Linked DNA regions of Macaca fascicularis. The protein of the gene in region 3 interacts with the protein of the main gene of each other region in a biochemical or structural test. Links are inferred from orthologs where the notes say so. Each region holds a gene or a part of one and is shown on either strand. Other genes may lie near its edges.

Region 1 (3,434 bases), on a different chromosome or scaffold from region 3:
TCTAGTGTGGTTCAAGATGGGTTCAACTGTGGCAAGTAATGCTAAAGGGTTAGGGTTAGGATTAGGGTTAGTTTTCTTTTTTATGAGAAAAGGTTTCTATAGATGACATGAAGCATTAATTTGCCACGGAAAACAGAATCTTGAACCCTTAAGACTTTTGAATTTGAAAACTTCACATTGCTATGTACTTGCAAGCATCATTAATGGGCTTGCATGGTGAGCAATACCAGGTAAAACTTACACCCCTAACATCAAAATTCCCATCATATTGTAGCTCTGATGCTGTTTCTCATTGAGAACTGAAATGAAACATGGTTTAATCTTGAACATACAACCCCCCTTCTTGATTTTAAAAACAAAGACCAACCCACCAACCAATGTGTAATCCCATAGACTGAGGATTTCTCATGAGTTCTCTCCAGTGATTGACTTAACAATTGCTATGATTGTTGAAATCATAACTGATATGTTGTTAACAGCAGGAATTGCTAAATGACTAAATAAACTTGGCATAGATAAGCAGCATTTAAGAAGTTGATGATCGGCCAGGTGCGGTGGCTCACGCCTGTAATCCCAGCACTTTGGGAGGCCCACGTGGGCGGATCACGCGGTCAGGAATTTGAGACCAGCCTGACCAACATGGTGAAACCCCCCCTCTACTAAAAATACAAAAATTAGCCAGGTGTGGTGGTGCGCACCTGTAATCCCAGCTACTCAGGAGGCTGAAGCAAGAGAATCACTTGAACCCAGGAGTCAGAGGTTGCAGTGAGCCGAGATCGCACCACTGCACTCCAGCCTGGGCGACAGAGTGAGGCTCTGTCTCAAGAAAAAAAAAAAAAAAAGAAAACAAAAGAAATTGATGATCAGCTCAGCTATACATCAATCCAATTTTAAGGGTGACTTGGATGAAGTTGCCGTCCTCTAAGTCAGGGAAAGATGGATCCCCAGATGATCCCGTCATCCTGAAGACGAGGCTGTGTGATCCGTAAAATGAATAAACACACATGTACACCTATGAGTTCCACTTTTAAAAGTTATTAATTTAATTCATTTCAGGTACTCAGGAGTTTTGCTTAAGTCGCTATATATAAAATATAGACTTTAATATCGTGATTGATGGAGAGCATTCAGCTTGCCTTAGATGCTGTAAATTCAGGAAAAGCTGAACGTTAAGGTGTTTTTGTTTTTTGGTGAGCGTGATTCATGCTAATAACCAGACGGGATAAATTTGAGGCCAGTTAACTTCTCTTTTTCCACAAGAGTAGTTTTGTTGTTGTTTAACTTTACTTTTTATTTCTTTTACCTCTGGTTTAGAACGATACCGATTACCTAGAAATCAAATCATTCAGGATGAGCCCTTGTTTCTTTCAAACTGCAGTTGTGGAAAAACAAAATCATTGGCCTAAATTACCCTGCAGATTACCTCAGACTTCCTTTTCATTTAATCACTTTACTTGATTTGATTCAGTTTTAGTTAAATGTACATTTTAAGTGGCAGCTGATTTAAAAGTAACATCTTTAACCCAGAATTAAGTAGCTTTGACTGTTTTTTTACATGTTGATCTATGGAAGGACTAACAAAAAAATTGCTTCTTTAGATGGCTCCATATATGAAATGTTTTGACGTGTTCTAGGACGTAACTTTGGGCTTTACGTTACTGTCTGCTTAGAATCTGAGTGCTGTTTAATAGTGAGCCAGTTGCGGGATATCTCAGTAATGTCTTTTTAAAAATCTCTTATTAAAGGTAGAACCTCTGCTCGCCAGACAATTATATTATTTTGCTCAACAAAACAGTGGACATTTCCTGAGGGGCTACGATTTACCGGAACACATCAGCAATCCAGAAGATTACCACAGATCTATCCGCCATTCCTCCATTCAAGAATGAAAAATGTCAAGATGAGTGGTTTTCTTTTTCCTTTTTTTTTTTTCTATTTTTATTTTTTATTTTATTTTTTTGATACAGGGTCTTGCACTGTCTCCCAGGCCGGAGTGCAGTGACACGATCTCAGCTCACTGCGACCTCCGCCTCCCAGGTTCAAGAGATTCTCCTGCCTCAGCCTCCCTGGTAGCTGGGATTAAGGTGTGAGCCACTGCACCCACCCAACACAGACGATTTTCATTGTAAATATTTGACTTTAGTGAAAGCATCCAGTTGACTGCCCTCTTGCTGTTTTGAGGAACTCAGAAGTGAAGATTTCAGTGCAGTAGCTGAGGAGAATTGCCGCCAGACAACTGTGGAAAATCAGTGACATCTGATTGGCAGATGAGCTTATTCCGAAAGGAAGGTGGCTTTGCACTTCTTGCGCTCTGTAGACTGCCATCATTGATGATCACTGTGAAAACTGACCCCGTGATGTGTTTACATTTGCTGAAATGTGTTCTTTAATTTGGTGTAGACTAGGTCTTGCTGGAGGACTGAGAACACTTGCCTTTCAGTGTTGACACTGACTGGAGCGATGACTGCAGGCGAGTCTGTACCATTTCTCAGGGAAGTAAGGTGTAAACGGAAGAAGCCTCACACATAGAAGAAATGTATTAATGTATGTAGGAGCTGCAGTTCTTGTGGAGGACACTTGCGGAGTGAAGGAAATGGAATCTTTGACTGAAGTTGTGCCTGTAGCCTGGGGGAGGCCCCTTCCCCACCTGCCAGTGGTTTCCTGGTGTGGGCCCCTCTGCCCCGCCTTCCTTCCCACGGGCTTCTCTCCTTGGCCTTCCCTGGAAGTCAGTTAGTAAACTTACTAATTTCTTGTGCCAAAAAACAGGATAGTTCCTCTTGGATGGGACATTTTTGTCTGTCCTACCATCGAGTAATGTCTAAGTGACGGTTAAGTTTTCTTGTTTCTATGTCTTTTTGTCCCTCATTCTCTAGAAATGTTAAATTCTTCTCATAAAGAAGAAGTTAAGGAGCATTTATCTTACTACCTGAACTGTTGCCCTTCTGTCCAAGTACTAAGCTGTCTGTTCCCCTCCTCTGTGCCACTCTCGTCTGTCTGTTTGACTGTGCACTGATCAGCCACGGTGACACTAAAGGAGGAGGAGCCGGGACGCGCAGGCTGGCGAGCACTGCCAGGAGCGGCCGCTGGAAGCAGGATGGAGCTGGCTGCGGAGCTGCACACCCAGTGGGCTGTTTCTGCTTCTTTCATCTGTTCTGTGCTTCCTCAGGCCAATTATAGTTTGACAGGGTCTTAAAATTACTTGGCTTTTTACAAATGCATCTATTTATAGAATCCCAAAGACCTCCACTTGCTTAAGCCAACCTGAAAAAAGGAAAACATTTTTGTGGTTTCGAGAAAGTACAGGGGTGTAGATGGGGGCGTCTCCCCCAGGGTGTTTCTCGTGCTGCAGGATATTTCCTATCACTCTCAGGGTCCGCAGACTGTGTAGCTCTCAGAAGTGCGGTCCTGCTTTTCTAATCCATATTTTAAATGGA
Region 2 (4,168 bases), on a different chromosome or scaffold from region 3:
TGTGAATGGCCCAGCTCCGGAACAAACAGGCATCCTTGTTGATGTCCCAGCCATGCTTGGCAGCATGCTTCCATGGGATCTGGAAGATCATCTCCTCCTGAACAACACACACATATACACGAGGCTGTGTCAGCTCAGAGGCCACAGACTTTGGGGCTGAGTCTGAGACCCAGGCTTGCCCAGCCAGACAGGTCTGAGAAAAGGCTGACTTCCCCTTTTCCCCCTGCCATCTGGCTTGGACTGACCCATCTTTAGGCTGGCTTAAACAGACCACTCGGGATCTCTCAGGAGGGACTCCTAGTTCGGATGAGCTGCAGCACTATTAGCTCACAAAGACCTCCCTCTGCCTGTTACACATGTGCTAGGACCCACACAGGGCACCCTCCCCCAAAGCCCTGATTTTGAAGCTCTGGGATGTTTCTCTCTGGCTTGTAAACACCAACATGGAAGTAAGAACTTCTTCCATTAGAAAGGACTCCTCAGGACACCTGGGACCATGGGCTTCTACACAAGAGGTCCTGGTCATACGACTGAGGGAGCTAGACTTGGATGGTGAACACTGTGTAACCCTGGCATTGTCACTGTATCTCTTTTCCCCTCAGTTTTCTCTTCTCTGAAATGAGAAAACATATCCAACAAAATTTTGAGAATTAAAAACCAGAGAATGTGTAGGGACACAGTGACAAATATGAAGTCTAAGGTCTTACTGTTATTATCACTGATGGTTAACAGTAAAGATTTCTGAGTCAGACCATTCAAGTTCAAATCTTGGCTTCATCACTTTTTGTGTGATCTTACAATCTTCCTCTCAGTGCCTCTGTTTACTTATCTGAAAATGATGACATGAACAGGACCTACCCCACAGGACTACTGCGAGGATTAAATGACACAATGTAAATAACATACGTAGCAGGTGCCAGGCACACAGAGAGTGTTCAGTAAGCATTAGCTATTATTATGAATACTATCATTGCTACTAAGCCTATAGTGTCTATGTTGCCCCAAGTGCACCAGCTATAGGCTTCTTGGGCCACAGTGACTGGTGCAAGATTGATTCGTTTGTCCTCTGCTAAGCCAGCCACCTTTCTGCCCAGCAGCATCCACTTCTCAAGTCTTCTATTTGTTTGATTAGAGCCCTGCAAGGTGCTGTGTATGTTTGTAAGGGTCTCCCTCAGAGGAGACCAGAACTCCAGCTCTGCAGATGCTGGGAAAGTCTTGCTGCTGGAAACTGGAAGTGCCTTCAGGTGGGTGCCCTACCTCAAGAAGGGAAGAAAGCAGGAGTCGTGCAAGTGAGGCCCAGGCTGGGCCTTGCACACTCCCTCCCTGCATGCAGGACCCATTGGGAGAAACATCTGCCTGTCCTGTTATCACTTCCCTTTTTGAGCTGCATCTGAAGCTTTGGTCCCTCCAGAAGTACATGGGTTAAAACAGTGGCAGGAAAACCCAAAGAGTTACACTCACTTTATTAATCCAGATGAGCCCCGGGATTTGGTTGGAATTAATCTGCATCTCTAGCCAGGGTCTCATGCGCATCCGAGTGATGGGCATGTTGGCTGTAAAGAGAAGACAGAGGCTCCAGTCTGGAATCTGTTGAACAGTACCTGGGCACTGACCTGCCCCACCCGAGTTCACTTAGTTACCCTCCCCTCAGCCAGCTACTAGGTACTACACTCAGTGGGGAGGGGAGCTGCCCTGGAATAAAACTGCTCTCCAAGTTTTTTCAGCATCTTAGGCAAAAATGCTTCTGCCCCTTCCTCCATCCCAGCCAGTCTCTGGATGAGACAGGCATGCAAGTGATGGCTTTAGGATTCATGTGCAGGAAAAGAGAGAAAATGCACAGATATCCTAATTTCAGAACTTTTCGCTCAAAATTCAAATCCTTTGGGAAGGGAGGGACTTCTTTTGCTTGATGCCAAGAAGAAATTCCCTTGACTTGAGTTGTCACCACTAGCTAGTAAAGGGCTAGCCATCACCCTGAACAGCCCCCCTGAATCCATTCTACGCCCTCCTGACAGTCACAGAGCCCACTACGCTAAGACTAGGACGCTAACCCTTCCGGCCCGGTTTCCCCTCCTCTGGAGAAGCGGCCCAAGGAACACCTGTGGCGCCTCTTCCCGCAGTCTCCGTAGGTCACGATTCCCTCCAGCCACCTGGGCAGTAAGCCAGCCCTTGTCACCAGCACAGGGAGCCCAAAACCTGGGGCCTGGGCGCGAAGCTGGGACCGCCGAAAGCCGGGAGCACTGGGCGCCCACGCGTGGGCGGACACTCGGTCCCCGGCACGGCGTGTGGATGCGCGGGACGAACGTAGCGGGCCACCTACAGGCCCCCAGCGGCTGCGCGCACGCATATCTGCGAAAGCTGCCCGGCGCCGGCAGCCTCGTCCGGGTGGGCGGTCCACGCCGCGGCCCGCCCTCCCCGCGCCGCGGCTCGCAGCTCCTCCGGCGCCCCCCGGAGCCCGCGCGGGGGCCCGGGCAACGCCGCGCTCCCGCGAGTCTCCAACCTGGGGTTTTCGAACCCCCACTTCCTGGTGCCCCGCGCGCCTTTTATTCGACGCCGCCGGTCCCCCGCGCCGCAAAAGCGGACTCACCTTTGCTGCAGGAGCGATTCGGCGGCGGCGCGCGAAGGTCCCGGCGGCGGCGCGCGAAGGTCCCGGCGACGCAGGGGCTGCCGTGAGGGGGCGCGGAGCGCGACTCCGGGTGGAAGGGGGAAGAAGGCAGAGGCTGTCTGGGTCTCAAGGCCGCTGGGCACGGCTGGCGTGGGCTGGGCAAGGCTCCGGGTGGCCTCGGTTCGGCGGGGCTCGGGCGCACGTCCTGCCTCGACGAAGGAGTGGCGAGCTCTGCCAGGGCAGCGGCGCCACCGAGCAATCCAAACACTTAGCGGGATTCCCCAGCCCTGGCCGGCCCCGCCTCCGGACAGCCGCGCGGGCGCCCATTGGCCGACTGCGTGCCGTCATTTCGGGGAAATCAGGCTGTTGTAGAGCTAGCGGCGAAGGGGAAGTACAGGGCGGCTGCTCCGCCCCACCCTCTCCGGCCGGGCGCCACCGCCCCGGGGCCACCACGGGCCCGCCCCGCGCGCTCCCCATCCACCCCTGCTCCGGCTCGCCCGGAGGAGGGCTGCCCTGGACAGCCCGGCACCCCCGGCCCCAGCCTCTCCTCTCACTCCGCCTTCTCCCAGCCGGCTGGCTCCTGGGGCCATCTTTTCACCCTCCTGGCGGGTTGGGGGCGGGGGTCTATCTCCTGAACGCAGGTGAGGGGATCGCCCGGGCACTTGCCGCCCTCTCCAGGGGGAACACCGGCCGAATCTCCCGACTGGCAACCTGGCTCCTCAAGCTTGCCAGTGGGGTATCAAGAAGGGAGAGTTTCAGTCCTAGCACTACCCCTGTTTTTAGGGGTGACCCCCTTTCTCCAGGTCACTCACCTGCCCTGGGGAAGTGAAGGAAGCAGAAAGCCTACCCTGCACCGTGTGCTGTCTGGGGCTGCTGAACCAGGGGAAATCTCAACTTGGCCGCTGCTGGCACAGCCCCCAAGGGACTCAGGACCTCCGTTTTTCAACCATAAAATAACAGTAGCCCTACCTTGATGGTTTGCTGTGATTGTAAAGCACTATGCTCCACTCGGGCAACAGACGCTGAGTAGTTTTCAAGGTCGCCGTTCCAGGGTCTAATAGTGACCAGGATGACACCCCACCCCTTTTTGGTCTGCCTCCCTGGGACTCCCCCTGGCTGGCCTTAGGGAACAGAGGAGGAGAAGGGGTTCAGAGAAGCCCAGATGGCTGAGTGAGGGTGGGGGTGGGGTAGTTCTGATCCCTCCTAATACACAGGCCGCCTCCAGAGCCTCCCTGTGGCCCGCGTATGGGAGTTCCTCAATGGAAGTATTGCTGTCATCTCTGAGTCCCCAGGGCTTGGCCCAGAGAGGTTCTGGGCAGCATGGAGGAATTAGCTCAGGGCTGATCAACGCCATGGACCTAGCGAAAGGGTTGGGGAACCCAGGTCCTATGTTCCTTGGTAAGGGCCCCTACTTAACTCGCGCTCACAACTAGTCCCCGCCCCACTTATAGTCCTAGAGACTTGACTGGGTGTTCATTTTCCATCCAAAACTCTGGCCCAGGAGGCTTCTTCCTTCATCTCTCTAAAGCTCCTGACTCAGAAGTAAGTTACTCTCCCAGGCGT
Region 3 (3,646 bases):
TTATTACAACCTTTTCCTGCCCTGCCCAACCCTGAGCTCACCCCACACTGCCTGGCTGTCCCCCACAGACCATTACTGGGACTTCCACCCCCACCACGTGCACAGCGAGTTCGAGAGCTTCGCCGAGAACAACTTCACGGAGCTCCAGAGTGTGCAGCCCCCGCAGCTGCAGCAGCTCTACCGCCACATGGAGCTGGAGCAGATGCATGTCCTCGACACTCCCATGGTGCCACCCCATCCCAGTCTTGGCCACCAGGTGCGTGCCACCGCCTGCCCCGTCCCCCAGGAGACTGCCAGGCCTGTGGTGGGGCCCGGGAGCTTCACAGGAAGCTGACACAGGCTCTTACCCAACTCGGCTTCCTGCCCCACAGCGCCAACGGCGGCTGGAGCCCTAACGGCTGCTGCCTGACCCCCCGAGTGACCTCGTGACCCCACACCCCTTATCTCATCTCACCCCGAGTATGGACAGACCCCAGATAATTCTTGCACCTCACCGAGCCTCCCCACCCCAACGCCTTGTTGTGAGCCCTCGTGGGCCTCACTGTCTTCCACCCCCATTCACTTGCCCTCATGGATCCCACACCAAGTCACTGAACATGTCTACTGACCCTGCCTCTCCCCAGTGACCCTCCCTACTGACCTTAATCTGAATCAGTGACCTCTGCTGACCTCTACCACCCCTACTGGCCTCCAGGGTCCCCCCACCACTCATCACCCCACCTATCAAACCCCCTTCCAGACCCAATGCACCAGCCCCCAGCACCAGCCCACTGTGGGCCCACATAACACCTCAGCAGGGAGGGGAGCAAGCCACCGCTTCCCCGGTGCCCACAGCCCTAAACCAGGAGGCCCAGCTGGGAGGGCTGGGTGGGCTGGATGTCAGCACCCCTCGCCCCACAGCCTGCACCCTATGTGCAGCGCCTCAACTGGCCCCACTTTTCCCTGGCCTTCCTCCAGTCTCCTGTGCCTGCCATTGTCCCCTGCCTTCTGCACTCCTTCTCTCCCCAGCTAACCTCCCTCCCAGCCCCTCTGAGCTGTAAGCTGGCCCTTCCTGACTCTGATCTCCTTCCCCCACCGTCCAGGTCTCCTACCTGCCCCGGATGTGCCTCCAGTACCCACCCCTGTCCCCAGCCCAGCCCAGCTCAGATGAGGAGGAGGGCGAGCGGCAGAGCCCCCCACTGGAGGTGTCTGACGGCGAGGCGGACGGCCTGGAGCCTGGGCCTGGGCTCCTGCCTGGGGAGACAGGTGGGGCATCTGGCCCTCCACCCTGGCCCCAACCCTGGCTGTGTCTGTGCCCTCCCCCACCCAGCCAGGCCAACTGACCCAGCAGCCATGCCGCCAAGTTGCGTGTGTGTGTGTGCATGTTTGCCAATGTATGTGTTTTGTGGGGCTGTCTGTGGCCGTCTCTATGTGTGTGTGTGTGTGTGTGTATCTGCTGTGAGTGCATACAGGCATCTCCATGAAGTGTGCCAGGTGTGTATGTCTCTGTGCCATGAGTGTGTGTAGATCTGGGTGTGTGTGAGCAAGTGTGCAGAGTGAGTGTGTGTGAACAGATGTAGGCAGGTGCATGTGTGCAAGTGGCTGAGTGGGTGTGTGAGAAGGTGAATGTGAGAGCTGGTGTGGATGAGAGTGGGTGTGGCCATGTTTGTGTGTATCAGCATATGAATGTATTTCAGTGTGTGTGAGTGGTTGTGTGCACGTGTGTGAGGTGTGCATGTATGATCATGTCAGTGGGTGTCAGCAGTGTGTGGGTATGCGTGTGTGAGCAGGGATGTGAGCATGGTATATGTGAGTGGGTGTGAGCAGGCGTGAGTGATATGTGTGAGTGGGGGTATGACAGGTGTGTGAGCAAGTGTGTGTGTGAATGTGTATATAAGCAGGGATGTGTGTGATATAAGTGAGTGTGTGAATGGGCATGAGTGTGTAGGTGTCAGTGGATGTGTGAGTGGATGTGAACATGTTTGAGGGTGTATGTAAGCAGGTGTGTGTGAGCAGGAAGGTGTGAGCTGGGGTGTGTGAGTATGTATGTGTATATGTGAGCAGGTTTGTGCATGTACGTGAGTGGATATGTGTTTTAGCATGTGTGAGCATGTGTGTGTTCTTGTGCGTGAGCAGGTGTATGTGGGGGGTGAGGGCATGCTTGAGCACCTGGGTGTGTGAGTGGGTGTGCATGTGAGTAGGTGTGCGAACGTGTGTGTGTGAGACAGAAGATATATGAATGAGTGTGTGAGAATGGGTGTGAGTGGGCTGGGCATGGTGGCTCATGCCTGTAATCCCAGCACTTTGGGAGGCTGAGGCAGGCGGATCACCTGAAGTCAGGTGTTTGAGACCAGCCTGGCCAACATGGCGAAACCCTGTCTCTACTAAAAAAACCGAACATTAGCTGGGCGTGGTGGTGAATGCCTGTAATCCCAGCTACTTGGGAGGCTGAGACAGGAGAATTGCTTGAACCCGGGAGGCGGAGGTTGCAGTGAGCCAAAATCATGCCATTGCACTCCAGCCTAGGCAATAAGAGCAAAACTCAGTCTCAAAAACAAGAGAATGGGTGTGAGCAGATGTGACATGTGAGCTTGTGAGCAGGTGTGTGAGCTGCTGAGTGGGTGTGAGAGCAGAATGTGTGTGAGCATGAGTGTGCAAGTGGGTGTCTGGTTGTGTGTGAACAGGTGTGTAAGCATGCAAGTGGGTATGAGTAGAATGTGTGTGCATGCGTGAGCAGGTGTGAGTGAGGTGCAAGTAAGTGGTGTGAAATATGAGTGAGCAGGTGTCAATGAGGTGTGAATGAGCTGGTGTGAGCATTGTGAGTGCATGTGTGAGCAACTGTGAGGTGTGAGCAAGCCTGTGAGCAGGAATGTGTGAGGTGTGGGCATATAAGGTGTGAGCATGTGTGTGTGGGTATGTGTGGGCTGGTGTGTGAGTGGGTGTGATTGAGAGATGTGACCATGTGTGTGAGGTGTGATTATGTGTGAGGTGTGAGCATGTGAGTGGGTGTGAATGTGTGACGTGTAAGCATGAGTGGGTGTGTGTGAGGTGTGAGCATGTATGAGGTGTGAGCATGTCTGTGAGCATGAGCGTGTGAGCATGTGTGTGTGAGAGACGTAGTGTGAGGTATGAGTGTGAGTTGTATGAACAGGTGAGCATGTGAGCAAGTGTGAGTGGGTGTGTGTGAGTGAATGGTGTGAGGTGTGTGTGAGCATAAGTGTGTGAGCAGGGGCATGTGTGTGGGTGAGTAATGTGATGTGTGTGAGGTCTGTGTGTGCAAATATGTGTGTGAGCAGGTGTGGGCAGGTGTGACCATGTGTGAGTGGGTAGGTGTGTGTGTGAATGGTGTGAGGTATGTAAGCATGCGTGTGCTGAGCAGAGGCTTGTGTGTGTGAGGGTTAGCAATGTGAGGTGTGAGGGTGAGCAATGTGAGATGTGTAAGCAGGTGTGTGTTTGTGCAAGCATATATAAACAGGTGTGATTATGAGACCTGGTGTGAGGTGTATGAGCAGGCGTGTGAGCACATGAGTGTGTGAGACCTGGTGTGAGGTGTATGTGTGAGTGGGTGTGACTGGGCATGTGTATAAGTGTGAGAAGATGCATTGTGTGGGTGTGACCGTGCATCTGGGGGTGTGAGTAGGTCTGAGTGTGTGTGCATGTGAGTGGG

What was found.
Region 1: the proteins of SPI1 (region 3) and IRF4 are reported together in a solved structure, tested with the Homo sapiens proteins (2 studies listed by BioGRID, with this or other methods). The link is inferred for Macaca fascicularis from reciprocal best matches to the Homo sapiens genes SPI1 and IRF4.
Region 2: the proteins of SPI1 (region 3) and IRF1 form a complex in vitro, tested with the Homo sapiens proteins (2 studies listed by BioGRID). The link is inferred for Macaca fascicularis from reciprocal best matches to the Homo sapiens genes SPI1 and IRF1.

What each region holds. Positions count from the first base shown.
Region 1 is NC_088378.1:172,678,620-172,682,053, reverse strand, and holds the end of IRF4 (interferon regulatory factor 4), read left to right. Parts: intron 1-1,745; coding exon 1,746-1,889; 3' UTR 1,890-2,911; downstream 2,912-3,434. UniProt on the Homo sapiens protein: Transcriptional activator. Binds to the interferon-stimulated response element (ISRE) of the MHC class I promoter. Binds the immunoglobulin lambda light chain enhancer, together with PU.1.
Region 2 is NC_088380.1:139,015,230-139,019,397, forward strand, and holds the start of IRF1 (interferon regulatory factor 1), read right to left. Parts: upstream 2,839-4,168; 5' UTR 2,588-2,838; intron 1,554-2,587; 5' UTR 1,549-1,553; coding exon 1,462-1,548; intron 98-1,461; coding exon 1-97. UniProt on the Homo sapiens protein: Transcriptional regulator which displays a remarkable functional diversity in the regulation of cellular responses.
Region 3 is NC_088388.1:18,487,584-18,491,229, forward strand, and holds part of SPI1 (transcription factor PU.1), read left to right. Parts: intron 1-68; coding exon 69-256; intron 257-1,082; coding exon 1,083-1,245; intron 1,246-3,646. UniProt on the Homo sapiens protein: Pioneer transcription factor, which controls hematopoietic cell fate by decompacting stem cell heterochromatin and allowing other transcription factors to enter otherwise inaccessible genomic sites.